Linked DNA regions of Lytechinus pictus. The protein of the gene in region 1 interacts with the protein of each later gene in a pairwise test. Links are inferred from orthologs where the notes say so. Each region holds a gene or a part of one and is shown on either strand. Other genes may lie near its edges. The genes, in order: peripheral plasma membrane protein CASK-like; ubiquilin-1-like; protein lin-7 homolog C-like; ATP synthase subunit s, mitochondrial-like.

What was found.
Region 2: the proteins of peripheral plasma membrane protein CASK-like (region 1) and ubiquilin-1-like interact in a two-hybrid assay, tested with the Caenorhabditis elegans proteins (2 studies listed by BioGRID). The link is inferred for Lytechinus pictus from reciprocal best matches to the Caenorhabditis elegans genes lin-2 and ubql-1.
Region 3: the proteins of peripheral plasma membrane protein CASK-like (region 1) and protein lin-7 homolog C-like interact in a two-hybrid assay, tested with the Caenorhabditis elegans proteins (5 studies listed by BioGRID). The link is inferred for Lytechinus pictus from reciprocal best matches to the Caenorhabditis elegans genes lin-2 and lin-7.
Region 4: the proteins of peripheral plasma membrane protein CASK-like (region 1) and ATP synthase subunit s, mitochondrial-like interact in a two-hybrid assay, tested with the Caenorhabditis elegans proteins (3 studies listed by BioGRID). The link is inferred for Lytechinus pictus from reciprocal best matches to the Caenorhabditis elegans genes lin-2 and C05C8.1.

The regions. Positions count from the first base shown.
Region 1 is NC_087260.1:13,512,528-13,519,584, forward strand, and holds the start of peripheral plasma membrane protein CASK-like, read left to right. Parts: upstream 1-4,035; 5' UTR 4,036-4,063; coding exon 4,064-4,140; intron 4,141-6,902; coding exon 6,903-6,980; intron 6,981-7,057. UniProt on the Caenorhabditis elegans protein: May play a structural role in the induction of the vulva. May be required for the localization of signal transduction molecules (such as let-23 receptor) to either the basal membrane domain or the cell junctions.
Region 2 is NW_026974140.1:5,442,011-5,450,028, reverse strand, and holds the start of ubiquilin-1-like, read left to right. Parts: upstream 1-5,012; 5' UTR 5,013-5,099; coding exon 5,100-5,216; intron 5,217-8,018. Other genes in the region: uncharacterized protein LOC129260988, read right to left, coding at 1-250, 632-842. UniProt on the Caenorhabditis elegans protein: May play a role in the ER-associated protein degradation pathway (ERAD) possibly via its interaction with ER-localized proteins ubxn-4 and cdc-48.1 and/or cdc48.2, providing a link between the polyubiquitinated ERAD substrates and the proteasome.
Region 3 is NC_087253.1:11,784,271-11,792,077, forward strand, and holds the start of protein lin-7 homolog C-like, read left to right. Parts: upstream 1-4,790; 5' UTR 4,791-4,854; coding exon 4,855-4,888; intron 4,889-7,393; coding exon 7,394-7,435; intron 7,436-7,807.
Region 4 is NC_087251.1:18,076,948-18,084,913, forward strand, and holds the start of ATP synthase subunit s, mitochondrial-like, read left to right. Parts: upstream 1-4,966; 5' UTR 4,967-5,101; coding exon 5,102-5,125; intron 5,126-7,707; coding exon 7,708-7,805; intron 7,806-7,966.

The DNA.
Region 1 (7,057 bases):
TAGTTCTAACTGCAAGATTGTTACCTTATTTTTGCCATAATACACTGTTACCATGGCAACACCAATTCCAAAACATGCAAAAATTTATTTTGCACATCTTTACCCCAAGACCAAAATATGTACATACACACCAACATTCAACCCCTCCACCAAGTTCTCCGCCACCCTTAGGCTTGTTTAGCATCTGCATTCAAATATATGGTGCATTGAGATGTGAGGACAAACAGAACATCTGTTCAAAAAGGGTCTGAATTCAAGAACTAAACCAATGCAAAATAATGCACTGCTATTGAGTTTTGCACTGGCGCTAGTCTATATATCAGACCAATTTAAACTCATAAATTCTGACATTTTCACCCATTTTTTCACTGTTCCTGCAGCCAGATTTTTTGGAGCATACCCCATTTTTAATTCTTATACATAAACAAAGGTCTGGAGAAAAAATCATGCTTTTGTCCACCGTGTCCACAAGTAGGGTATTTTTGACGCTAACAGACCGGACTATAATGACAAATACATTTACATGTCAACGCTAGTAATGTGTGAAGAACCATTCTTTTCCCCTTGTGTATCTGTTATCAACCCCCACCCCCAAAAAGAAATTCAAAAAGAAATTTTGATGAACAAAGAATGTCATTACACCCCAGCCTGTCTGTATAGAGCATGTCCCATTCAACTTAGGCATCCCCCTGTATATAGACACGTTTTCAATTGGTTATAAAGGGGATGTAACTTGGAGGATCATACGAAACAATGTTAATACTGTAAGGGGGAAAAAGAACAAACAGTTGTGACCTTTTTGAGCAGCCCACGTGTTGTGTCCCATAACACAAATTCCACCCTACCCCAACGGCACAATGCCTGCGCAGGTCTTGAGAATGGAAGAATAACAGCATTGCTTCTTCAACATAATTTCATTTATTGATTTCCATCATTTCAAGGGGTCGAGTTCTGTATGATCCCCGGCGCAACCTCCACCCTTTCAGAACCACCGTCGGTTCAGTAATAGGATGACAGGGAAAACGTTATCTCAAAGCCCCGTCGTTCGATTTTGTTCGCATTACGACTCACTCCCGTAGATTCAATTTTGGATTTGACGGGTCAGTTGAAATTCAATAACTGCTCCTGTGCTTTTGCCCCCTGCCATGGGGGGAGATTTGCCCAGTGGTCATGCCCCATTCTTGCAAGATGCACGATTTTATTAAATGACAGTATCCTGAAGTTCTTACATGTAGGTGTAGTGCAGTGATGGGAGGAATGGAAGGTTTAGGTGTATCCAGAGAGAACTGTGCATGTTTTGTATCTGTTTGTGATGGAAATCACTTTTATTGTGAATGATGTTCTCTGCTATTTGCTGGTAAATGACTTGTGGGTTTCATGATTTGATTATTTTGTTATTCAATCAAAATATAATTATAAACTAATGTTTTGTAATTAATTTTATGTCATGAATACAGGCCTTAAATTTTGAACTTTTTTTTAGGGCAAGGCCACTTCCCAAAAGGGTACCTTATATATTTAAAGGACAAGTCCACCCCAACAAAAAGTTGATTTCATAAAAAGAGAAAAATCCAACAAGCAAAACACTGAAAACTTCATCAAAATTGGATGTAAAATAAGAAAGTTATGACATTCTAAAGTTTTGCTTGTTTTCACAAAACAGTTATATGCACATCCTGGGTGGTATGCAAATGAGGAGACTGATGACGTCATCCACTCACTATTTCTTTTGTATTCTATTACATGAAATATGAAATATTCTCATTTTCTCCTCATTGTCAAGTGAAACAACGCTTGATTCCTCCATGAACAGTTGAAACTAGCATTGCTTAAAACTATATGATTCAGTCGAGTTGGTCCCTATTGTCAAATCTATAAAAAATGAAATATTGTATAATTCAAACAATAAAAAACAAAAGAAATAGTGAGTGATGGACATCATTGACTGTCTCATTTGCATGTCACTGAGTTGTGCATATCACTGTTTTGTGAAAAATAAGTGAAACTTTAAAATGTCATAACTTTCTTATTTTACATCCGATTTTGATGAAATTTTCAGCGTTATGCTAGTTTGATTTTTCTCTAATTATTCAAATCAACATTTTTCTGGGGTGGACTTGACCTTTAGGTACAGTTATGGAAAGTTACAAAGGACCTCAAAATATTCAAGGCCACTGAAAGGGCCATTTAAAGCCTTGGACTGCTTTTTAAACAATTTATAATCTGCATGCCTAATCGATATCAAAACTAGGATTAATGAAAAGGGGTAGGGTTGGGAGGTTCTGACAACACCACCAAAAGCCTCTGTTAGTCCTGGCTGCAACAGCCCGCGTTAGTGCATGTACTGTATGCATTGAAATGTCCGTAATGTCTTACTCTAGGTACAGGTAATAAGAAGGGACAGCATCTATTGATTACTGTACAAGCTCTGGTGACGGAGAGGACAGTAATACGAGTGATTCTCGAGGCCCTTGATTGGGTTCTTGTTTCGGGAGGGTGCATATTCTCCGCCCAATAAGCAACAGATTTCTAGGAACATGGAAACCTAGACCCCATTCCCACCTTCATTCTTAAACCAGTTTTTTTAATAGTGGCAACCAGTTTAACGTGTAATGGGAATGCTCAAAGCAGTCTTGGAAGCGATCTTAAGTGGTCTTCAAAACCAGTTCGGAAATCCACCTTGCAATGTGGTCTTCAAGACCACTTTACCTTGTTAAACTGGTTAACCGGTAAGGACACAACTGGTTTGCTTAAATTGGGTGTGCGAATCAGTACATACGGTACAAACAAATGATGTTTAAATCCAACATTTTGGGGATTTCTCTTAATCAACAGATGGTAGTTTCACATAATAAATTAACCAACCTGATATGTTGGTTGAAACATTTCTTGGAGTGTGGATTAAGGGGTGCATAATGAAGAAATGGGGGAAAGGTCCTTCTGAGCGAACTGTAATAAATTTGAACTAAATTTATATATTTTGTAATTAAATTACTTAAGAATATATTTAAAAAATGAAAGAAACATGCAAAGGGAATGAATCTATGATTCCTATGGGTTCCAATCTTGGTCAGTCATACATGATGAAGGAATCCAACTTGAATTGTGTACTCATACTCGATACTCGGTATTGACAAAGGTCCCGTCTCTGTTTGCGCAGTTCTGATCCTGGAAAGCAAAGTTCAAACTGCACTGGGTCCGTGGTGTCAGAAAGATATATCAATGATATTCATGGAATAATTATTGATTTGTCTTACAAGGCTACATACATATGTGTCTGTGTTCCCCTAACAAGTGCAGACATACTTGCACATGCGAAGAATAGTTCTTGATTCATTCATATGCTGAGATAGTTTACCCACATGTGCCACATTAATAATTGATGTACATGTATACATGGTTATTTTGATTGCGCGATTAATATTTTATTAAATTGATACTCATGTTCTACATGTACATGTACATGTATGCAGGTCTGTGAGTCAAGCTTCTATATTATCCACTGTAAAAACTTATATTAAAAGTCAGTACTAATACATTGTGAAAGAAATGGAGATGATGGTATGGGCGATGCCATAGCTGAATGCTTGAGCAATACAATTTTCATTGTTATCAATGATACAGGTATAGTGGGTAGCCATGTGAAAAACTGATTACCAATATCAAAATGTTTAGTTGGAGGTGAATTAAAGGTGAAAATGGTGTGTGTCGCACGGGACTCATAAATGTCCCGTACGACGACGCAACATTTTATCCTCTAATTCACCCATCGACGACATTTTTCTGTTGGTTGTAATTTTTTTTTTTACATGACTTTCAAGTAGTACTTTATTACTACCACAAAACAAGTTGAAGTTCCTTATTTTTTTGGACAGCAGGTTGAAAAATGTCGTGAAAATGGCTGATTTTTCTAGCATGGAATCGCCCATTTGTGTGTCTCTTCTGTTCTGGGTATACAGTCATGATACTTTTTAACACTTCAACATTAAAATGTTCTTATTTTTCTCTCTTTTCTCTCATTTCCTTTTTTGTAGACCTGAAAAGAGAAGCATCAATATGTCACATGTTAAAGCATCCACACATTGTTGAATTATTGGAGACATACAGTTCAGATGGACTACTCTATATGGTTTTTGAATAGTAAGTATATCTTTCACGTTCTTTGGCAAGGCCTAAGTCCCATTTTTGCCACTCTCCACCCAGGTGGAGTATATATGTAACTTTTAATCTGAGAATAGATATCTTGCAAGCTCTAATAACTTCATACACTATACAGGTATATTTCAGGGCCAAGCAGAGTTTATAGCTGACGAGGCTATCCTGATTAAATAGAAATAAAAATAGAAATGAAATGAAATTAACAGTTCCTAATCATATTCTAATGGACACTGCCTATTTCATTAAATTTTTGAAAAGTTATCTGCCTTGACTTCAATTATTGATTGATTTTAATATCCAATGTGCATTTGAGATCATGTCATATGAAGAACTTAAAATGAAATATAAATATTACATATAAAGAATAATCAGGTACATGTAGGTCTATAAAATGATGAATTATCTAGCCATGGTTATCAAAGCATTACAAGTCACGCTTCATGATTTCATAGGAAGTCTGACAAGGAAGGTCTTAATGGGTCATTGACTTGCAAGCGTCATAGATCATGATTTGTAACTCTCGTGAATGAGTGCTAATAAAATAAGAAAAATGATTTAGTTCTCCTCAACTGGTCCCCCGTGAATACATGTAGGTGTAATGACAAATATGAGGATTTATCAACGTATGTAAATCATTCATGTAATTTGTCGTCTCTTTTGTATTATGTATCATTATATGCAGTATAGTTGATGCTCAATTTCTGTATGATTCTTAGCATCTCAGTGTAAAGAAAACAGATGATATATGCACTATACATGTACACACCTTTTTTCTATCATTTCAAATGGACTGCTTTCCGTGAGAAGGGGATTTATTCTATCCCCAAATATGACGCTGCAGTCACACCCATAAAACTGACTCTCAGCCGACCGATCGTATCTCATTGGAAATAACGTAACAGCTTTGATCACTCTGTAGTCGGTTTCACCGGTGTGTCTGTAGCAGTAGTGAGGTTCAAGTTGGTGAGGTTTACTTCATGCAAGACCAAGATGGGATTGCCTACGAGCGATGTCCATTGATGGGAGAGAATTCCTTGTAGAAGAAAAAAACTATCATGCTATTTTTAGCCGTGGATGTTTAGGCCAGGCATTCTATAGAGTGATGTGCGTGCGTGTTTCCATCAATTTATTCGATTGAGAGGATGCCTGCATCTTTTGTTTAGGGGGGTTGGTGACAGTTCCGAGGGCTAGAATTTAGCTTATTCTTTCAAGATGTTTCATATTTTTTACTTTGCTCAGTAATCTTAAATGTATGTTCAGCCTTTGAGAAATGGGCATATCTATTGTTATTAGAATTAGAAATGAACAAAATACGTTTTTCAAATTCTGGGAGAACTTTTTATCAATGTATTGTGTTTGAAGCTATGCATGTTTCAAATAGATGAAACTATATTTTTATTGATGTTGCTTATTGACCATTTTGTCTTATCAATAGCTTAGAGAAATTGGATGAGGGATTTGGTCGACTCCGCCCTCAAACTGTTCAAAAGAGCCCTTGCTAAATCCCCATTCATGACAATGCAGAATGTTGCAGTAGGTTACAAAAAGTAGATTAAAAAATATATCTTCAATACATGTATATATTTATTTTAACTTTTTATATAAAATGCAATTTGAGTAAATAATCATTGGGACTTTACAAAAAAAAAAGTATCTGGAAACCATTTCCACGCATGGCTTGTCAGTACAAATTGTACGAACTTGTTTTACCATGCAGAATACCCTCATTTCATCATATAAAAATTCATGTCTGTTATTCCTTTCAATTATTTACAATTCTACAACCCTCTTTTTCACAGTCTGTTTTGACAAAGTAGATTTTGGATCAATAAAATATAGATTTCACCACTCCTCCATTTCTGACAGCATGTATGTAGTCTGCCTTCCAGGCAAAACTGTATTCAAGAAAGGGGAAGAAATATAATGTGGATATATGTCTTTCCATGTTATTGGAATCGTAAGAGCCCGTCTTCATAATCTGGAAATGGCTTTAATAAATTCTTTTAATTGTATTGATTTTTTTGTTGGTAAAATGAGATTTGTGTTTAGTATGTAGGCCTATTCCATTCCTACAGTGTACACATTGAGTAGGAGCTAGTTGTTGATGCACTAAATTTTTTAATACTGCATGTACAGTACAAGAAATTCAACTTGTCTGAAAGGCACGCTACATGTATTTATTCCCATGAGTGGTGAATTATGCATATAATGATTCGCTTTGATGCAACTAGCTATGCATGCTGCAGTGATGAGAGGACAAACGTATCAGCTTGATAATATTTCAGTCTTAGTTTGCATTAAAAATGTCATGTAATATTTGTTTTCCTTGAATTTGCATTGTACTTGACTCAAGTAGAATCCCCTGCTATGAATAGCAGTATACTAAAATGAAAATATAATACATGTACAAAAATATTTTCATTCACTAATCAACATTTTCTTTCTCTTTTTATTCCTCTCTGCTATATTTCTTCCTTCATATATTTTTCCTCATCTCTCTCATAATCTTCCCCCCCCCCAATTCATAAAAAACTTTGCTTCTGCCCCTCTCGCTCTTTTCTTCACTTTCGTGTTTGTTTATGCTCTCTCTTTGATGTTCTACCTGTTTTCTCTCTTTCTCTCCCCTCCTCTTTCACCCTCCTTTCTTCCATTCCCCTTCTATCTCTCCCGTTCTCTTTCTCTCTTCGTTCTTTCCCTATCTCTCCTTTTCCTTCTTGCTCTCACCCTCCTATTACCCTGTGCAGTATGGAAGGAGCAGACCTGTGTTTTGAGATTGTCAAAAGAGCGAATGCAGGCTTCGTCTACAGTGAAGCAGTATCAAGGTAAGTAACTTAATATTCATACCCCTTTCACACTGACCATTCTGGGGATACCCAGATGTTACCTGGATGAAAAATGA
Region 2 (8,018 bases), on another chromosome or scaffold:
AATTCTTGTAAGTCTGCGCACTGCTGCGACATCTTCTCCTGTGAGCCTCTAAGATAAGAGTTCATTTCCAAGAACTTCAGGACCTTCTGATAGCAGTCTTCGATCTCCCTTTCTTCCTTGCTTTGCTCCAGTTGTTCTTCAGACTTCCTTGCACTAGACGACACTGATTTGCTGGATTCCTGTCTGGGTCTTTTGGCAGCTGACTCAAAAGATTTGGATGTATCCAGTGCGACCCTGGCTGAAGATTCACCTGTGAAGTTGATCAAATGAAAATAACAATTAGGTTTTTACATCAATGAATGAGTGTGGAATAAATATCTTTATCATATCAATCAAATACATGTAGTCTATTATTCAAAATTAGTACAAATGTTAACATAATTTTCATTAACAACATCCATTTGAATATCAACATCATTTATCATAATCATAATTGACTTGGACAGTCTTGGTTCAAATTCAATTGTTTCTACTAAATTCTAGTTAGATTTTAATTTATGCTAGTTTGATTTTTCTCTAGTAATAGTAGTATTTATTCAAATCAACATTTTTCTGGGGTGGACTTGACCTTTAATCAGAATAAATAAAAGATGCAATGGAAGAGTATCTGGGTCGATGTGGGTTCACTTACCGGAGGGGAGGAAATCTCTTGATTTTGAATGGGAATCCTGATGAGGAATCCCGCCAAGCGCAGCACCAGCTGTATCGGTAATGTCCTTCTTCAAGAATGTAAACGCGACATCATCGCTCGGCGCCGATTCCAAGTCTTTAGTGATTTCATCAAGACTTGGAAGTTCAGGTCTGCTTAGTAATTTCTTTGTTCTCGACATGTTGACATTCATATATCAAGCATGAATCAAAATAATTTTCTAAGGGCAAAAGTCTAAGTTCTAACTCCTACTCGAATCTTCGCGTACGTTAACCATACGTGTACATCCGTATGCGATATAAGCATTACATTAGAAGCCTATGGAACGCCATGGTATGATGGTAGACAGTTCTTATGTGACCATGATTTGATTTCGACACAACGATGACTACAAAAACGGTAAGACCGGCCTTCATTAATTTTTGGCCCGGGATTTTGGCCGCTGTTTATTACCCTGGTCTGTTATTATCATTATTTTTTTTAATAAAGGTCTTGATGAAGTTTCTGTTTTTTTTTTAATTCCAATGTGTTATAAAATTCGCAAACTGAAATTATTCTTTGAGATGATAATAACAAAGCGTACTGTACATTTTCCCCGGGCGCCAGTCAAATACAGTACGTGGCGTAACTACGCCGGGCTGGCCAAAAAAAAGGGGGAAAAGGAGAAATAGAGGGAGAAAGGGAGAGAAACGTAGCGAGAAAGAAGATATTGTTCATTATATTTATAATGTAATATTATGTTATGTTATATTACATAAAAAAACATTTTTTCATAACTTTATGAAACATAATTTGCTCAGGGCCTATATGTCTCCATTGTTCCTCGTGCTCACATTGTCTGTTTAACGAGATATGTAATCCTGTTGTACTAAAACCTCCCGTTTCAAGTCAATATACACATATTGTTTTATGTATAGTGACACGTGCTTCTTATTCGTGACTATACTTAAAGTAACTGCCCCATTTTAAGGCCTTGATATAAAACATTTCCTGTCCATGCTTACGTTCGCATTAGTGAATTGGTAAGATATGTCTGCTCTTCATGAATTCCTAAAATCAGGCTTAAAATGTCCCTTTTTCTGATCCGGAATATCAAAAATTTTCAGCTTGCGCTTTGCGCTCGCATCACTGTGAAATACGTATCTTTGGTCTTCGTGAATTCCTACAAACAATTAAGCCTTATATAGAATGCCCCTCTTCAGGTCTGAATTTCCTAAATCTTCAGCTCGCGCTTCGCGCGCGCAATATTCGATTAGTGATAGATGCGTATGATAATCATGATTACAATTACTACAAAAGTGCTCCATGTGTTTAGATGTAATCCTTAAAAAAATCAGCATGCACTTAATTGGCACTCGCATTAGATTTCATGGTGAGAGGGGGTGAGATATATGTATACTCTTAATGGATTGGCTAAAATATAGTCCTTAAAATGTCCCTGTTTGTGGTCAGTATAAACAAAAATTCGCATTGTTTGTTTAGCGAGATAGGTACGTATCATGATTACAAAAAATTGCTTGTAATGTCCCTTTTTAGGTCTGAATATAAACAAATTTCAGCTCGCGCTTCGCGCTCGCATATGATCAGTGAGATATACGTTTAACTGAGCGCGTTTCGCGCGCTCACTAAGTGACTCAAAAATTTTGCTGGTGCCCCCCATGCCGTGACCCGACGGTACACCACTGTTGTTGTGTATTTGACTCCGGAGGGGGGGGGGGGTACAGTATGAACCATTTTGTGAAAATGACATGGATTTTAAATAAAGTGCAGCATTCATTGTATTTCTTATTTTTTTATATAAATGTCAATTTTTTTTATAGATATTTTTTGTCGCCTTTCACACCTCATTAAAATTGAAGGTGCTACTTCTCTTTAAAGAGCACAGCAATATGAGTGAATTAAGTATATAATTCTGAACTATGATGTAAAATTTTGTGAAACTGAGATGGGTTTTGACTGAGTAATAGAGGTTCAAACTCAACGTCGTGATCCCGTGGGGTTTAAAAACGCAATATTATTTTACTTGTGTATTTCTCGAGACCTTGCAAACTTGGTGAACTTCAAAGCTCGATAGCAATTTTTTTTTGCATATTTTGAATAATTATATAGTTGCTCAGTGGTGTACCTGGCATATTTCGTCAGGGGGGGGGGGCAAGCGACAAAAATGAGCAAGGTGGATGGGGGAGGGGTAGTAGGCATGGACGTATAGGCACAATTTCTTCAAGGGGGGCTGATAATCATTGCCCAAATATCAACTTCACAGTTTTTAATTTTCGAGCGAGCGAACATTTTTTTAATTATTATTTATAGCCATTATTTTAACATGATATGAAACTTGCAGAAATTATACATTCGGTCATCAAATTACCAATACACGAGGATATTTGGGCACCTCGTAGTCCTCGTTGCCCTCCATTTTGCTGCCCCCCATACACGTTTGGATGTGTAGGTCTGGAAGTGGCACTGAAGGTGGGAAAGGTTACCCAGGGCAGAGGCGTCGATCCTGGGGGGGGGGGGCAGGGGGGCGATCGCCCCACCAATGGAAATATTGGGGGGGGGGGGCAAACATATCGTTTTGCCCCCCCCCCCAATAATTCCGCATGTGCAAAAAATAAAATAAGATTGTAATGTTTTTACAGAGAAATCAGCAAGCGAGATTGAGATACACAACTTGTTCTTTATCTAAAATCGTGCTCAAAATGTCCGCTTTTCAGATTGGAATATGAAAAATTTTCAGCACGCGCTTCGCGCTCGCATCATTTCTGTAGCAAAACCCATACTTTTCATGATCAAATAGCTGAATAGAATGTCCCATTTTCAGTTCTAAACCTCAAAAGAACTCCCACTTCGATTTGCAATAATCTTTTGTTGGATCTATATCTCGTTCTTTGATTAAATCATTTTTCCTGTGATTTGATCATCACCAAGTACTCTCCCATGACCATCATCATCATCTCCATCTCCATCATGGCCTTCATTTTCACCATTATCACCATCATCCTAATTCATCTCCATCTTCATCATTATACAATTATAAACAAAATAACATTTCCATTCTGCTTTATAAATGTATGTAATAATTTAATGAGTTTTATTCCGGGGTTGTCATTTTTTTTCAAGCAATCTGCTAATAATGACAATCCTTCTCCTGCAAACTGTAAATGTTAAAATGTTCTTTGTTGGTTGTAGATCATATTTGTTTAGAATGACTTTCTATTTTGTATTTTTTTTCTTTATGATTCATACCTAAATCAATTACCGATATATTATGTTTGTTACATAATGAAAATTGAAATGTTATAATTATATGAATGCAGAAGAAAAAATAAATCAAATCAAATCAAATTTTGTTTAACATTATTGATCCAATGCTTATACTTTAACAATATTATTTTGTTATATAGGCCTACATTGATTTGTACATACTAACTGCGAAAATTCTGGTGTTGAATTAACACCAGCCCGGAATCTATATATGTCCACACCATGCAGAGAATTGTTAAACAACACAAGTTTCGTTTTGGTCTAACACCAGATAGGTGTTTATACAACACCAATTAGTATTAAAACAGCATCGGTTTGATTCCAAAGTGGTGCTATTTCAATACTTCTCAGTGTGGACATAGGCCGGGCTGGTGTTAAATCAACACCGGAGTTTTTGCAGTGTACTACTTTATAAACTTATATCTGATGCATTGAATGCGGAAATAAAGCGATCATCAATCAATCAATCAGTCAGTCAATCAATCAATCAATCAATCAATCCGCAATCAATCAACCAATCAATCAATCAACCATAATCAATCAATCAGTCAATGTACTTTGTATGGATATGTTTTTTTTATTTCTATCACGGTGCACTCGTCACAAGCACTGCTTACAGAGTACCTCCATTGTTGTTAAATTTTTGAAATTGTATTAATGCTTTTATCTTTGGAAATAAATGTTTAATTGAATTGAATTATATAAAGCCTTAAATGAAAATTATCATTATTTTTTTCACCGATAGATGTGAGATGAGAATGGAAATCGGGAATAAGGTTAACAGTATTATGATGCAAAGAGAGATAAGTGAAATCATATTCAGAAATGATGCAATATCAAAAATTCTGAGCAAATTAGGCTTAGATTGTAAGTCGATCCACTTGGCCTATAAATATAATAATTGATAAAATAGAGATGTGGGAAATGTTGCAGTCCGGAGTTACGGCATTGATTTGATCAATGACTTCAGTACACTCAAATGGGAAAAATGAATGGAAACTTTTCAATGTATATAAACCATCCACATCCCCGAATCTATTTATTGTAGTAATACCATGAAAATGGTAAATGTAGAAAAAAATAGTTAGTACAAACAACAACACATTACAAATGTAGCTTTCCATAACTTAGTTAGACAAATTCGGTCACTTGAGAGGTCAATTTGTTAAAACACAAATCTGGAAACATGGCGGAGCCTACAGAATCTTCGGGAACCACTGCTAAAGATATCATCAATGTTGTCGTCAAGACACCGAAAGACAAAGAAACAATAGAAATCAAACCCGATGCTACAATTAAACAGGTAATATATGTGATTGAGGGTCCATGTTTAGCAACGACTGTAGTGTAGGTGAAGTTTGTCAATATTGCTTATTCACGGCGCGATGAATGATCCACTCTACACTCACAGACCACAGTCTCTCACTGCACTCTCAGCGTTTCACAATGCGCAACGCCGCCGTAGCGCCATAGGCATAGCCATACTGGACTTAGCCTTAGCTTAGCCTTAGGCTTAGCACAGTCACAGGACGTGCATTTATTTTAAGATTTTAACCCAGACTAACTTGTAATGCGATTTTTTGTTAATGGGTGATACTGATAGTAATAAAGATGTTCGTATCTAATGACGTGAAAGCCCATTTTTAGCAGTTAAATTGTCTCATCAGACTCATGTAAATATGAATTATGAGTAACGTTACGTTGGAGCTTACCAGTGGCACTGGCAGTAGCCTGGAGGCTTCTGGGGAGTAAAATTATTTACTACGTAGGCTTACTCCCCATGAAGCCTGGGACGGCATGCCATAACTCCCTGTATAGGCATAGGATTCCCACGGTGAAAGTAAACCTAAAATCTAAATCACACATTTTCCTTTACTTTACGTTTTTAGCCCAAACTAACGTATGGGCCAAAACAATATTTACCCCCCATTTTTAATAAAGGTCCTTATATTTATTGAAAAATAGTACTAAATTTGAAAAAAACATAAGAGCACGAGCGTTTACTTCAGGGTCGGAATTACACGGGGGCGACGGGCGATTTTGCCCCCATGACAGCCCAAATCGCCCCTAAAAATTCTTTTTTCTTTCCCCTAAAAAAAAAAATTAATTCCTACCCTGGTTTACTTACCCAGTTTGTTTACGTCACCATTTTGGAGTCTTTTGTTATCGATACCAAGATACCACACGCATGTAGAGCTGCCAACTTAGATTTAAGAAATACTTTAATCGGCCGATAAATATTACGAATCGTAAAATACTTGTTTCAGTCGATAAATATCATTAAGCAATTGTTATGAGCAAACAACCGTCTATGGACAAAGGGGTGCGCTTTTGCACCCTCCTCGATTACTCCTAAATTTTGCTTTTTGATGGGGGAAAAGGGAAGAAATAATCAAAATGTATTTATACTATAATGACACGTGTGCGCTCTTTTTATTTCAAGTTTATTTTTTTAAAGCAATAGGTTTGAATGATTTCCTGCATGAAATTAAAAGGAAGGACTTCCCTAATTGTTTATTTTGTAACAGTGACCCGGAAACCTATTTACATCTTTTTATTGAATGTCCTGTTGTGAAACCCATTTGGGATGAAGTTATGAAAGCTATTATTAAGGAAACCAAAAAGCCTGATTTACAGAATGTTTCAACATTTGAAAAAATGTTTGGTTATATTGATGATACATTCCTTGCATATTTGTTTCTTTTGCTTAAATATTACATTTATATTTGTAAATTTCAGAACAAACCACCAACTTTTGATGGTTATAAAGCATATTTAACCTCTAACAAGGATATTGAATATCGTATTGCCAAGAAAAATAAACCTACAAGCCATTTTCGGAAATGGAGATTTAAGTTGTAAGATATTCTATCATTTTTAATTTTTGTAACTGAAGAATATTTTAATATGCCTTCTGAGGATAGAAATTTGTTAATCTCTAGGTAAATCACCTGATTTGTATCCCTCTGTTATTTACATTCTTGCCTTTACTATACTATAAGGGATGAGGAATACTTAGAAGAGACAAAGTGACTGCTTTTACAACATGTTTATCACTTTTTATCTGTTGATAAGCTGTACTTTTTCTGATGTAAACTAATAATGTGTATGCTGCTTTTTTATTTCAAATTACTTGTATTGTTTATATGTGATTTGTTACCCAAAATCATGAAAACCCAAAGAAACTAATAGACGGGTCAATATATGGTTTGACCCGGAACAAATTGCAACAAATGATTTTTCAACGGTATTTTGTACTATTTGACCTCAGGAATAACATACTAAAAATCTACCAAAATCCGCATCCGGGAAAGTGGTTATTTTTAAGATGTCATCCAAGATGGCCGCCATTCACTAAAAATTGATATAACTCACTCATTATCCACCCTAGAATCATATTTGGGTTCATATTCCATGGTCCAATGGGTAACAGAATTTATTTATACAAGTTAGAGTGAATATTAGCACTCCAGGGTACCAGGAAAATCCAAGATGGCGCCCAAAATGGATGCCGTAGTCTAAAAACTCCACAATTCATCTATTACTTACTTAAGTGGCTTTAATTTGGTTTCCATCCGATTGTTTTAATGATGAAGTAGTACGTCGGGACAAGTTACAAGATGGCTTCCAAAAATTGAGTTTAAAATGGCTGTTAATCCTTAAAATGGACATAGCTCATATCACATCAACCTGAGAGATATGATTTTGGTGTCTAGACCATGGTTTCAATTGTCAAATAATACATTGGGACAAGTTACAAGGACAGTCAGTGGTCCAGTATGTTCAAAAATCCAAGATGGCTTCCAAAAATGGAGTAAAAAATGCTGTTGCTACTTTAAAAAAACCCAACAAAGTTTGTTCAATATTCGGGAATATGATTTTTTTGTGCCTATACCATGGTTAAATGGGTCAAATAATAAATTGGGATAAGTTACAAGAACGATTGGTGGTCAAGTATGTCCAAAAGTCCACGGTGGCTTAAAAAATATGGTATCAATTAGCCGCGATGGTATTTAAAAATGGACATAGTTCATGTTTTATTCGTCAAGGGCATATGATTTTGTTGCCTATATCATGGTTTCAAAAGGCAGAAAATTAGTTACAA
Region 3 (7,807 bases), on another chromosome or scaffold:
TGATAAAACAGTTCAGTTGATAGGCCCTACTTTTAATTCCCCCATTTTTTAATCACCAACAAATAAATCGTGCCACACCTCAAATCAATAATTGAGAGAAAAAAAATATAAACATAGTGGCATTGTTTGTGACTATTAAACAAGCATTTAGTATAGGCCTACCATGATTGAAAATTCTAAAAACTAATTAAGAAAAACCATCGACAAACTGATAAAGATGAAAATGCGCTACATTGGCCTATATACTCTGCACTAAAAGAAAGCGATGTCACGTAGTGTGATCACTGTACGTTTGCTTAGTGGACTGTTTTTTTATTATGAAAATATTATTTACACTGAAATAATGCTCAAATTCAACAGTGTGAAGATATTGTCAAAATTCTCGACCAGAAATGACAATGACTTTATTTCTTTGACGGCCCCTCCTGGGGGCATGGAGGAAAGGTAACAGGTTATAACAATGGCATAAGAAAAATACAATTAAACAAAGGTTAAAAAAATCAAAATATATAATAGTAAAAAAATTGTTATGTATAGGAATATAAGAGCAATACACTGTAAAAAAAAAACATTGAATCAGTAGTTAACACTTAATGTATTTAAGTAGAATTTACAATTTGTAATTATTTTTTGTTGTTTTTAAGTAGTTTCAACTTGTCTTTTAATTTACTTGATTTACTTGATTTATTTGGGTTCAATATACATTTAAGAAAATTCACGTATTGATATCTTGCTTTGATTGAGTAAATCTAACTCAATTAGGCAAAGATGATTATTACTTATAAAATCATGTTGAATGTATTTATATTTTCAATTAACGCCATATTTAAATAATGCATGAATATTCATTAGAGCAAGTAAATGTTTTTTTTTTTTAATAACTGTCATTTCTATTTGTGTTTGAAATTGTTTTGGATAAGGGTGTGCTAACTATTGTATTCTTTTGTTGAATCAAAGAAAAGGCAACATTAAATAGTCATTTAGCAGAAAATTATTCTCACTGTTTTATTTGTAAGAATGAAACGATCGCGTATAAATATCAATGTCAGTACCTATACATGTACAGGTAAGTGACAATTCACAAAGTCTAATATTTGGATAAAACATGTATAAAATGAAAATGATGCCACCAAAAGTGGGACGATGGGGGAGCGGACTTTCGAATCACGAAAGTCCATCCACTCCCCCATTTGATATTTTCAAATATTTTAGTGATTGTTTTACTTAATTGAATTAAGTTATTGTAACTTAATTTTCTTGAGTAAAATGGAAGCAAAGAAAATAAGTAAATTTTACTTAAAACTGCCAAAGTCATAAATACTTGAAAAAATTAAGGCAATTTTTTGCCACAATTTTATTAAGTAATTTCTACTAATTTTTTTTTACAGTGTAGTAACTGGCAGCGTTGGTGGTTGTTCACATGGTCGATTATGTGAATATGGGATGCACATTGTTGAAATGATCAAATTTAAGTGTGAAGGGGGCATGGTTTCACAAGTGTTTCACATTGTGGTACGTATTCATTGACTCTTCCCGGTATTGGGCCGGTGGTTTGGCGTCAGAGAAATAACACTTTGTAACTGATAATCTACTCAATGTGCCTGTTTTGAAACATTCTGTTTAAGTTTTATTGAAAATGTTTGATGGAAACGCACTTAAAATAAAAAATAATATTGCTGATTCAGAAAAAATGAATAAAAATAATAATTGCTCTCTGTTGTGATATGATTTGTTTTTATCCTGTTATTGCTGTCGTAATTCCCCGTTTTTAGGGAGGGGTGGTGCCGACTGAAAGAGCAATATCTGGATCTGGATCCGTATCGAGACAAAGTATTTGAGAAAAAAAGTGATACATAAAAGAAGGGAATGGTCTAAAGACGTAGTAGAAAAGCAGGTATACAGACTGCATGATTATGGAACATATAAAATGCGTTTGCATAATAAAAAATAAATAAAAAAGAGGGGAATGGGGTAAATCGGGTCATGAAAACCATATTAAAGGATTATGTGGAAAGGAGGTAATAGATTAAAGGAAAAGGAGGGGGAAAGGGTCATAAATTATGATCCGCTGGTTAGTGATTTTTTTTAACCAAATAAAGGGATGGTCCGGGCTGAAAATATTTATATTTTAATACATAGAGTAGAATTCACTGAGCAAAATGCCGAAAATTTCATCAAAATCGGATAACAAATAATAAAGTTATTGATGGTTAAAGTTTAGCAATATTTTGTGAAAACAGTCGTCATGAATATTCATTAGGTGGGCTGATGATGTAACATCCCAACTTTCCGTTTTCTTATGTTATTACATAATATCATAATTTTTTCATTATTTCATACTTACCTTGTGTGAATGATATGTCTCCCTTATAATGAAATAAGTTGCAGCAATAAATATCTAATGCACTAAATCAGTTGTCAATCCAATTTTTCTAGTTCTTGGAGAAAAAAGTTAATAAACCTAATTTCATATAATAAAATACAAAAGAACAAGTGGGGATGTGACATCATCAGCCCACCTAATGAATATTCATGACGACTGTTTTCACAAAATATTGCTAAACTTTAAAATTCAATAAACTTGTTATCCGATCTTGATAAAATTCTCGGCATTTTGCTCAGTAAATTCTACTCTATTTATTAAGCTATAAATACTTCCAGCCCGGACCATCCCTTTAAATACTTTATAATTCATTTTTTTGTATCTGATTTGATTTGGGAATTACAAAAAGACAGTGAAAAGTCGGAGCAAGATATTGCAAAAGAATAAAAGCTTGATGGGGAATTAAGGAAAAATTCATGGTTTTCTAGAAAGAAAACGTGGCTAAGCTATAAAAGAAATACCCGGAAGAAAACATGTGAAGGGTAGATGAAAGTTCTACAAAAAAATGAATGAATGAAAGAGAGAGAGAGAGAGAGAGAAAGTGAAACAAAAATCACTAAAAATATAATGAAAACGAAAAAGTTCTAAGCAAAAGAGTCACCGCAGAGGGCAGTATTCCAATTTTCATTTCGCATTAAGTTGAATGGAAACACGAAATTACATGGGAATTAAGCGTTTCATGAAAACTTCTTGACTAATAATGGCTAATAAATGGGGGGGGGGGGGGGAGGGGATTAAAATTGTGCCCCCCTCCCTTTGTAAGTGATAACTTTTTTTTGCTTGTCAAATTCATCCTCGGAAAAATGTGCCCCCCCCCCCTTTGGAAAATCCAGGATCCGCCCCTGAAAGGGACCTCCGTCATTTTGCCGTTCTCTATAACTTTGTTCAGTTAGTGCACTATAATAGTGGACCATGCCCCCCCCCCCAAGGGAGAGGGGGTGGGGTAAATGGCAAAGAACAAAATACAGAATCATGAAAAGGGAAACTACATCTGTAACTTGGTTTGACTGCCAAAAAAACGGTGACAATTTATTATGCAATAATTATATAATAGAGAAACTATACTGAAAAGAAAAGCAGTGTATGATAAGGAGGATACCTGAAGAAAATAAAATCGATTTTGTTTTTTTCCATGAAGAAAACAAAACAATCAAATCAGTAGTAATAATGATAATAAAACAGCTAGGGATGCTGTGGGCCATGCAAGTATGCAACTCAACTCACCGTAGGGTTATACTCACATGCTTTTCAATTCCTTTCTTCTTGTTGTTTTCTCTTCTTCAGTTCTAAAATTATAATCAATTAAAAAATAGGCCTATAAGGCCTATTGTCAGCAGTTGCAGCTCGAGGTGCGGCCGCGATCGATGCAGGAGCTACACCCCCAGCCAATGAATTTGCCCCATAATGGGCTCGCCTATATGGTTTCACTTTGACTTTCTCGGGGATAATGATATAGGCATTCATATAGCGCCAATATATATAGTTTTTATTTTTCTACTTCTTTTTCTCTTATTTTGTCTGCAAATATATTCCTTGACCTCGACGCTGTATTTCTTTTTACCTTTTGGCTCCGCGGGGATTATGTTTTACTTTTCTCTCCTGTATAATCAAAGGCCTTTAGATATAGGCCTACCTTTCATCTTTTATTATTTTGTTAATTTCCTCTTTTCATATTTTATCGTACATATTTTCAGGACCTATATCTTTTCTTTTCTTTCTTTACTTTCTTTTCTTTTCATTCTTTTCTTTTCTTTTCTTTTCTTTTCTTTTCTTTTCTTTTCTTTTCTTTTCTTTTCTTTTCTTTTCTTTTCTTTTCTTTTCTTTTCTTTTCTTTTCTTTTCTTTTCTTTTCTTTCTTTCTTTTCTTTTCTTTTCTTTTCTTTTCTTTTCTTTTCTTTCTTTTCTTTTCTTTCCTTTTCTTTTCTTTTCTTTTCTTTTCTTTTCTTTTCTTTTCTTTTCTTTTCTTTTCTTTTCTTTTCTTTTCTTTCTTTTCTTTTCTTTTCTTTTCTTTTCTTTCTTTCTTTTCTTTTCTTTTCTTTCTTTCTTTCTTTCTTTCTTTCTGTCTTTCTTTCTTTCTTTCTTTTCTTTTCTTTTATTTTCGTTTCGTTTCTATTCGTTTCTTTTCTTTCCTTTTCTTTTCATTCATTTTCAAAGTTTCTGTTTTCTGTTATCTTTTCTTCTTCTTTTTCAGTTTTTTAATTGTTGTCTTCTATTAATTTTCGTATACGTTGCTGCGGGCGTTGCTGTCTTTTCTCTTTTCCCGTTTCTTTTATTTTTCTGTTCTCTTCCTTTTCCAACCATTTTTTGTTGTTGTAATTCCACCCTTCCCTTTGCCACATATTTTCTTCTGATTAATCCTTGAAGCACATTGCTCCCAACTTGCTCTTTACTGCCAGATTTGCAGATTTTTTTTCATGCATTCGATGTGTGTGTACAGTACAATGATGACGTCATCCGAGATCAGATGACAAAATGGCTTCTACAGGCGAACTTACACTCGACAGAGGTAAAACACTAACGATTATGTTTTTGCCAATATATCAGAGAATTTATGAATATTTACGTTTATTTACTTATTTCATACATATGCATTATCTAAGGATTGTTATAAAGTGGGATTCAATGTGTGATATTACGAGGAAGTGTGGAAATAAGAGTGTTTTCTGGGAGTTTCTACGCTACGGTCCGGCATTTGCAACCCACTGCACTGGCTGATGTTTACAGGAAGGAGGGGTCGTGCGAACGTTCATATCGGCCCCAACGGGGCGGGGAGGTGGCCGGTAGGTGATGACGAAGAGCTCGCTGAGAGTTTGGCGGAGCTGACTCTCTGACTGTCCGGGGCTAATGCAATTTCGCGCTTACCGATTTCAGGCAAATTTCCCACCAGTATATTGTTTGCAAAATGCAAGTCTCTCATTCACACTTCGAGGTGAATATGCCCACTGCTTTTCCAAATCGGGAACGGCGAATTTACATTTTGGCTCCGATCTCGACGTTATTCAAATTCTTGGGGGGGGGGGGGGCACTTCCATTGAAGAGTGGATACCATGTGCGACCATGGCCATGGGGTCTCAAAAAGCACCCTAAACACGTATTTTCCATATGCTGAAAATGCACCCCTTAACAAGTATTAGCATGTTAAACCCTACCCTTAATAACAAGTATTGGAAACAAAACGATACTCTTGGACTTGGCAAGTATTCCCTGAATTGAACCCCTAAACAAGTACAGCGATATTTTAATTGTTATGCCATGGAGGTCGGTCGTCGGTTTTACCTTAGTTTAAGTTTAACTACATCATTAATTGGGTTTAGTACGGCTTCACCTTCCACACCTCGCGTAAATCGTACTCTAAACACGTAGTGTTGATTGTTGGGGCAAAAAGTACATCCTTTATAAAAAACATTTTAGTCCCAATTTTCTATACCCTCCCAAATTTGACCCTAAATACGTAGCTCTTCTAGCGAAAATAGATACCCTTTTTTCATTATTTTAGTGTTTTTGACACCCTTATTACTAAGTTACATACGTAACGTGCCCTATCTTGAAAAAGACACCCTTTTTACGTGTTTTTTTGGTCGCGCATGGTATCCACTCGTCAATGTAAGTGCCCCCCCCCCCCCCGGGTTCTCGGGTCAGACATAGGCCTTGCCCTTACTTAGCAACCAAAAGATATGCCTGCGGCAGCTCACATGTTTGTTCGCATGATTTTGGTTGCTAACTTCAAATTGGAGCAGTTACTTAGAATAGATCGTCGAGAACGGGGCCAGATTAAACGTTCCCGATCACGATATTTGGAAAAACGGTGGGCATTGGCCTTGAGGACTTTGTGATTATATTTTTTAATATTTTGACATATACTTATTCATCATGAAGCCTTGAAACAGGCGAAGCGAGACATCAAAGCATTGATTGATTTCCATAGGATATTAGGAAATCCATCTTTAAACCTACAAATCACATAAATTTGTATACACCTTCATATGCCTAATGCGTATGAAGGTGCAAAAAAACTATTAGTATAAATATGAAAAATCAGAGGTTTCTTACCAGACCGATTTCGTTTAGATCCCTCATTCCATTCGTAAACACCGCAATACATAAGGCTTGGCCCTTGAACCGCTTCGTTATAACGTAGCCTCGATAAGCAATGGTACAAAATACCGTCTTGAAGAACAATTTATTGATAAAAATTATCATTTAACAAATGATAAAATTTGAAACTTGATTATAAATAATTATTATTACAACCAAGAACAATGAAGAGGAGAAAAGAGAGATAAAGACCCTAAAAGTAAGATTGTAATGAAAAAGTGAAGTTTTATCATGAAACTTTTGCCACAAGCGCCATGCGGTGCCCCTTGATTTCTTTTTACTCGTCACGCTAATCCCACATAGAGCTACGCGCCAATGCTCGCATATTTTATTACCATCATGAAAAATCCTGTTGACACCATGATATGTCCAGGAAATTTTTTGCTCCTGTCACCCCCCCCCCCCCCCCCCCCTGTTACACCCTTGACTTTCTGATTCTGCTCGCTAGATCTGCCAATGGAACTGTTGTTGTGTTAGCTGGGGCCTGGGCCGGGCTGTGAGCTTGGAATGATAAAGAGTCTATAGATTATAGAATATGCTTTTTATTTGTTGGGCATGACTGGTAGGAAAGCTCAGTGCCCGGAATAGATTTTTACTTCTCGATAAAAACAAACAGGAATAATAATTGTTTTGAAGACTGACTGGGTTTTTTTTTTTTTTTTTTAATCAAAGGAAGGCTGGTAATTATTATCACCATGCTTTTTATAATTGTGATGGTACTGTCTCCCCCTTCTTTGTTTTAAAATAAATGATCAATCTTGACCTCTAGATCTATCTTGTCTTTCATGCTTTTGAAATAATATATTTTGTGGGATTTCTGTACTTTTTACAAATGAGTAAAGTGTGAGATTGTACTTAGTTAATGTGGGATTCCTGTCAAAGTCATGTCATCACGTCTCTGTTTATTTTCCATCAGATGTCAGCCGTGCAATACAGTTACTTCAAAATCTACAGCAACGTAAGTTTATCATATAATTTGCAAGTACATGTACCACAAAAATTACAGATACATACTGAGCACTTTCCAAAACCTCTATCCAGATCCTAAAGTCAAAGGCTACATGTATGTTTGCCCTGATGGTGAGATGGTTCAAAGCAGAAAAAAATATAGAAAAATATTGGTGAAGGTTTATGTATCAGTCAAAGAATAATAACAGTATTCCAAGTTTTCAAAATAAAATCATATATCTGTGAAATTCTTCATATTTTGATATTTGTGAAACTGGAATTTAGCACTATAATGCAGTAATGTAAAAACTAGATCTTTGAATAAAAAAATAGAAAAAGAGATTATTTTAGCAATTAAACCCAGCAGTGGAACAATATAATG
Region 4 (7,966 bases), on another chromosome or scaffold:
ACAAATAAGAGAACAAGATTTGGGGTTCACTTAAGCATGCGATGTGTAATATGTAGTTCAACTACTTAGCAGTGAGCAAAACACGGATATCAAAGTCTTGTATTTTGTCTTCAACTTTTACAACCTCACATTTTGACAGTATGAAGAAATTTCTTTTTTTTTTCGGATAAACCAATATTCTAAATATGCGTTTGGAAAACTGAATTACTATTTTGGTTATTTTCTACGAACCTTCCCTGGCAACTTATTGTTGATATTTGGGTGGCTGGCCACATTTGTTTTGAGAAAAAATATCAAAGAGTATATGAAAAAAATATTTATGTAAAAAAGCTTGCCTAGCTGTTGGTATTTTCTTCTATTGTACTTTGTCATGTAACTCTGGTAGATTTCATTTCGTTACACAAAATGGGGTTCAGTATTCAGAAAAACCATTAACCTTGCCTCAACCACAACAGTACTTGCCAAACTGGATAAATCAACATTATATCAAGCTGTGTAGAAGAACTTAATGATCATGTAGATACCATTAAGTGCATACATATGTAATGTCTTTCAAGCTGTATGACAAAAATATTCTTTTCCATCCAACATCAGCTTCTACTATTTTTTAAGGTTAGTTTTTATTGTCATGTTGGCAAATTGTGAAATAGTTCATGTTGAAATATGTTGTATTACCTGTCATGCATTTGTAATGTTATTTTTTTAGAATATATTCTGTCATCATTTTCAGTACATAAAAGTTTATTCAATGTATGCCTTTACCAAAGTTGGCCATAAGCACAGTGGGTACCAACTATCACTGAAGACAACACAACAATTACTCAAAATATATGCATAGCCTTATGAATGTACAAGTCAATAAAATCTACTATGACTACATAGCTTTTTTTTGTGCAACACAGTCATATTTCATTTGGATCAATTCAAAATTGAGTGGTGTTTTGGGGGTAATGCTATGGTAACTGCAGTTCTGTTGTCCTCTGACAGTTGGTGTTGTAAGGATGTGATTGGCAGTGTGTGGACGTCATGTTATAAGAGAAAAAAGAAAGTTAAAGTGAGAGTGTTGGCTTTGAAATGGACTCAACCTATGAAAATTAAAGTTTGTGCTGCAGAAACTGGTGTGGTAGTGGGATGATAATGATGATGAGGAACAGGGCCGGTATTCAATGCTACTCTTAAAGCCACAATTTCAAGTATATTTTACTCAGTATTTTGCAAAAGTAAAATACTTATCCATCTTTGGTATTCAATTGCATTTTTTTTTGGCTAAATATTTTGCTTAAATGTAAGTCAGCCATCTACTAGACTTAAGTCTACATATACAAAAATGATACGCACAGAAATACATTCACACATTTGGCACTATTTGGCTCAAAATTTATAACATCACAATGGGTATTAGTATTTAGTTCAATTTGGATAAGGTAAATTCTGAGATCTGATCTGCATACAAGTTTAAGCATTTTGATAAGCCAGCCAAATTGCTAAGTAAAATACTTACAAAATCAAAACTTAGAATTTAATAGGCGGCCGAGGTATTATTTTCTTCCAGAGGACATGTACAGATTTCTTGTTGACAAAGGATGACATGATGATTATTTTGCAAATATGGCTTATTAAAAAATATATTATGTATATTCCATTTCAGTGACAATTGCATTTTTGGGGAGGGGATATTACGTATTTGGGAATGGAAAAGTTCAAAATTAATGCAAACTTAACCTATTTACGCAGGGGGGGGGGGGGGGGGCTCTGAGCTCTGCGATTTAAAAAAAAAAGTCTTTTGCATGTTTTGAGACCAGTTTTGCGAAGCCCGGGTACTGGGTTCTGAAAATTACCAAACAATTTGTAAGTGCATATCAGACAAAAATGGCTCAAAATTGTGATATTTGTGTACCACGTCAATGGAATATGCGTTTTCAACCAAAATTCATGAATGCCTAATTGTTTTTAGTTTTGTTGAACTAAACTGATTTATGTTATGCTGTTACGAGAGTCCGAGCATCGTTGAAAAAAAACAATGCAATACAAAGGTAAAAACACAAGAAATACATTATCGAAGAACACCACAAAGAGTTTCTAAACCAAAAATTAGAACATTTGGAGCTTTATTTAGGGAGTTAGAGGAATAGGTATAGTATACTAATTATGCACAAATGAGCATAATCAATTAATAGCAATTTGCATGAAATAAATAACTACACAATTTTGTGGATTATTAAAAGCAATTGCGATCTTTTTCTTCACTATTCATTGTTTTTAGAAACCTCATTGTAGACTTGCCTCATGCACCTCTCAAGATGGCTTCATCATTTGAATTATATTCTACACTTATCATTCTTTAAAAAAAATCATTGTAGACATGCCTCACCTCCTCTCAAATTGCCTTCACCATAACTTGTAATACAGTTTATTCTTTTTAAAAACCTCCATTAACTAATTGCCTCACCTCCTTTTAAATTGGCTTCACCATAATTTGTAATACAGTTTATTCTTTTTAAAAACCTCTATTGAAACTTGCGTCGCCTCCTTTTAAATTTGTAGTACAGTTTATTCTTTTTTAAAAACCTCCATTGAAACTTGCCTCACCTCCTTTTAAATTGGCTTCACCATATACAGTTTATTATTTTTAAAAACCTCCATTGAAATTTGCCTCACCTCCTTTTAAATTGGCTTCACCATACAGTTTATTCTTTTTAAAAACCTCCATTGAAACTTGCCTCACCTCCTTTTAAATTGGCTTCACCATAATTTGTAGTACAGTTTATTCTTTTTAAAAACCTCTATTGAAACTTGCGTCGCCTCCTTTTAAATTTGTAGTACAGTTTATTCTTTTTTAAAAACCTCCATTGAAACTTGCCTCACCTCCTTTTAAACTGGCTTCACCATAATACAGTTTATTCTTTTTAAAAACCTCCATTAAAACTTGCCTCACCTCCTTTTAAATTGGCTTCACCATAATACAGTTTATTCTTTTTAAAAACCTCCATTGAAACTTGCCTCACCTCCTTTTAAATTGGCTTCACCATATACAGTTTATTCTTTTTAAAAACCTCCATTGAAACTTGCCTCACCTCCTTTTAAATTGGCTTCACCATAATACAGTTTATTCTTTTTAAAAACCTCCATTGAAACTTGCCTCACCTCCTTTTAAACTGGCTTCACCATAATACAGTTTATTCTTTTTAAAAACCTCCATTGAAACTTGCCTCACCTCCTTTTAAATTGGCTTCACCATAATTTGTAGTACAGTTTATTCTTTTTAAAAACCTCTATTGAAACTTGCGTCGCCTCCTTTTAAATTTGTAGTACAGTTTATTCTTTTTTAAAAACCTCCATTGAAACTTGCCTCACCTCCTTTTAAACTGGCTTCACCATAATACAGTTTATTCTTTTTAAAAACCTCCATTAAAACTTGCCTCACCTCCTTTTAAATTGGCTTCACCATAATACAGTTTATTCTTTTTAAAAACCTCCATTGAAACTTGCCTCACCTCCTTTTAAATTGGCTTCACCATATTATACAGTTTATTCTTTTTAAAAACCTCCATTGAAACTTGCCTCACCTCCTTTTAAATTGGCTTCACCATAATACAGTTTATTCTTTTTAAAAACCTCCATTGAAACTTGCCTCACCTCCTTTTAAATTATTGGCTTCACCATAATTCTTAGTACAGTTTATTCTTTTTAAAAACCTCCATTAAAACTTGCCTCACCTCCTTTTAAATTGGCTTCACCATAATTTGTAGTACAGTTTATTCTTTTTTAAAAACCTCTATTGAAACTTGCGTCGCCTCCTTTTAAATTTGTAGTACAGTTTATTCTTTTTAAAAACCTCTATTGAAACTTGCGTCGCCTCCTTTTAAATTTGTAGTACAGTTTATTCTTTTTTTAAAAACCTCCATTGAAACTTGCCTCACCTCCTTTTAAATTGGCTTCACCATAATTCTTAGTACAGTTTATTCTTTTTAAAAACCTCCATTGAAACTTGCCTCACCTCCTTTTGAATTGGCTTCACCATAATTTATAGTACAGTTCATTCTTTTTTAAAAACCTCCATTGAAACTTGTCTCACCTCCTTTTAAATTGGCTTCACCATATACAGTTTATTCTTTTTAAAAACCTCCATTGAAACTTGCCTCACCTCCTTTTAAATTGGCTTCACCATATACAGTTTATTCTTTTTAAAAACCTCCATTGAAACTTGCCTCACATCCTTTTAAATTGGCTTCACCATAATACAGTTTATTCTTTTTAAAAACCTCCATTAAAACTTGCCTCACCTCCTTTTAAATTGGCTTCACCATAATATTCAGGTATAAGGTATATATTCATTCTTTTTTTTAAAAACATCATTGTTCACTTCCCTCACCTAGATCATTTGGCTATATATAATACCTTTTATTCTACACTATTCTTCCCTTTCAAAAAACCTGATTGGAGCTCCTGCCTCCCATGATCTGACATTTGCCTCTCAACGTACTGGAAATAAATACCATTTTTTCAATATTTTTGTGTTTTTGACACCCTTATCACGTTACGTACGTAACGTGCCCTCTCTTGAAAAAGACATCCTTTTTACGTGTTTTTTTGGTCGCGCATGGTATCCACTCGTCAATGTAAGTGGCCCCCCCCCCCCCCCCCCGGGCGTACTGTACATAGTGTTATTTTATTATCTCTTTATATGGGAAACTTCGTTTTACCGAATTGCCATGCACTCTCTCCGACGCGTTTGAAGTCTTAGACAGCATGGCATACTACCAGCCGATGGTACACACACGCACACACACACACGTTATTTGACAACTTGTCTCTGGAGCCAAAGTTCCTCGCATATAACTATCTGCATGCCTGCACGCAGTGTGTATTGAACACGCACGACCACGATCTAATGAATATTCATCGGCGAGACTGACGTCATTTTACGAGTCTCCTTTCAAACTTGGATCATAAGTGCCTACCCATCATATCAGTGGAATTCTAATTCTATGGTGTTCTCAATAAATGTCGAAACAAAATTCTGAGCTAAACTAAGTCAAGTTACTAGTTAGTTAGTTACAGCACAGATGCAGAGCCGTAAAACTCCCTCAAAAATACAAAGATGACAAGCTTGCTATGTAAAAATGTAAGAAATTTATCTCTTGTGAGGAGAACTATGTGTGTCTTTATGTGAATGAATGGCGTTGTAATTGTGAGTTTTAGAGAAATGCCCAGGCAAGCTGAGCCTGAGGCAAGGCCAAGGGCCAAGGACAGGTTAAGGCACTATAGGTATCACAGGCCTAACTCATTCCCCATAGACTCGTGTGTTAAATTGGCATTTTAAAAAATTCATAAAAAATAAGGGTGAAATTCGGGGGTCGAATGTTTACTACCAGTGGATAGGATTTTTATCTGGCAATCCATATCTGACCAGAAAAGGGTCCCTCGACCGGCTCATTTTAAAAATAAATTGGCGTGTTTGAAGACACCGTCGGGGGGAGCAGATTCATCACCTCAAACAGCAAAATAGCCCTAATCCTTCCGCCAGTCAAAATATAGTCCAAAGTTGGTGATATTTCTTCCCAATTTGGGAAAAGGAAGTTCAATAATTACCAAAAATAGAATCAGTGTTAGATGGACAATCATATGCATACACTTTGTTAATCAGCCATATCAAAATTTAAAAAATAGCAATGGGTTGGCTCGAATGAATATCTATGGCCTGCCTCTAGTGATTAGGCCCGTGAAGCCCTAACGTTAGGCCAAAGACGTTACGGCTACGCACGGGATGCGGTCGGTGGCGCGCTGGCGGGGGCCGGGGCGGGCGGGCGGCGGCAGCTGGTGTGGACCTAGACAGCTTGCAGCCGTCTGTTTCGAGGAGTTTTTTAATCATATTTTCTCCTCGTACACTGGCGGTACACAGATGGCTCGCGATCGTGCAGCTGCCATTATTTAGGGGGTAAACAATGCAAAATCCCCCCGACGCAGGGCTCATCAATTTTTTTCTTTATTTCATAAGAACTGGGCCAAAATGAAGATTATATTATTCCGTTTTGGCCTGATGAAATGCACCAAAGCAAAACGGAAAAAAATTAACTTAAATGGGGGAAAAACAGTGACTTAACTTCGGCTGTCGCGCAACTCCCGCGGCCTGGTTTATCCGAACTTAATAAACATATCATCATATGGCCATTGTCTTTGATACGTCCCTGTACTGTAATCTGTACAGATCGAGTTAGAACTTTGGTCTCTGTAATTGGTGACTGGAGCCACTCACACGTCTAGACCAAAACAAAAGCTTCAGTCTCTGTAGTTTGATTATTTCGCTGAACTGCGTTGGCTCACTCACCAATACATATAGTAAAATAAATCCCCAGAAACGACGGTTATTCCTGTCTATCACACGTCATGCAGGTATTGTGACTAATACTATACTAGGACTGGAGCCAACGGAGTTCAGCGGAACAACCAATAAAACAGAGACCGAAGCTTTTGGTCTAGTGTGGACCGTGCAGACAGACGCTAGATCAAGGCGAGTAGGCGACATCGACAGGAACGGCTGACAAGTCATGAAAGGGGTACTTTAGTTTAGGGCCGCACACCTACTGTCTACTACCATCCATGAGCATGATGAGTGCCCCCCCAAGTTGGCTGCACTTACCTGCTTACTCCGAAATTCACATGTAGATTTCTTTTTCATGACTGTCTTAAAGTTTGCGTTACTCCGTTAGAATTTCTTGCTTTTTTTATAATGCAAATAACTTTTTTTTTTTTTTTGTGAGTGGGAATTATAAATGAAATTTGTTACCTTAGCCTAGCCCTAGGGCTAGGCTTAATAAAGCTCGCTAAATTAAATTCTTCTATTTCTAATTGTGTTTGTTTTGTGTACAAAGTTGATGGAGGGGAAGTTTGTCACCAGGTATTAATTATTAAATATTATTATTATTAAATATAAGAGTCGTGAACAGCTGCTTCAGTTGTCTGATAGTAATAAATCTCATATTAGTGAGGTGATGAATTGTGGAACAATTAAGACCTATAACCCAAAATGAATAGATAGAACAGATTAAAGGAAAAAATATCAAATGATAAGGAAGTGAAATAAGATCAAAATGAAGCTATTGGAAGAAGTATGGTAATTCATTGGCTCGATGAAAAGAAAAAAAGAGATAAATTTGAGAAAACCAGAAACGAGGTGATAGAATGACAAAAGGAAAAGAATGGTACTTTCAATTGCAGAAAAAAATATTCCAGACCCAACATTAAAATGGAGAATTAAACAGAAGGAATTCAAGAAAGTCAATAGAAAGAAAATGAGATATTCCCTGTTTCCTTTGACTATTTATAGCTTAATGATGAGAGCTTTTTGAGTAGATCTATGCCTACATTGTTATGCTAATGTTGGTCTACTTTTTTGTCAATGGAACCTTGGGAAATTTCTATTTGCTATTGGACCTTTCAAAAGACCCTCTTTTCCAATTTCGCTGGCAAATTGTTGTAGGCAAATGTGAGTGTTTGAGAAGGATATGGCAAATTGGTTATGGCCTATTTATTTAAAACAGGTCTTGCTTTGTATCTGTCTAAAAAAAAATAGACACCTTGTTGGAGTTTTCCTGTACATTTGCCACAGTGCTTGTCTTGGATTTCTTGAGTTTTTTTTTTTTACCTCAAGAATGCATTAGAATATGAATGTTATTATTTTTCTTTTTTGTATATTGCTGTTTGAAGATTTGCAATCCAGGTAGATCCATTGCAAGAGGTATTCTACTGCAGCACCATCTCCAGTCACGTCCACTCTGGGGGATGTTAAATGCTGTCTTTAATCAGTAAGTTATGCTTTTATTTCGATAACTCTGCTAATAGGGACATGTATCCCTATGTATCGAGTGCTATATAAAAATACTATGGTTAACAATAACGAGATTAAAAACCTGCAATTTTCTATATCGGGTACTTCTGTAGTCGTGCAGTTTTGAAAGTAAAACCA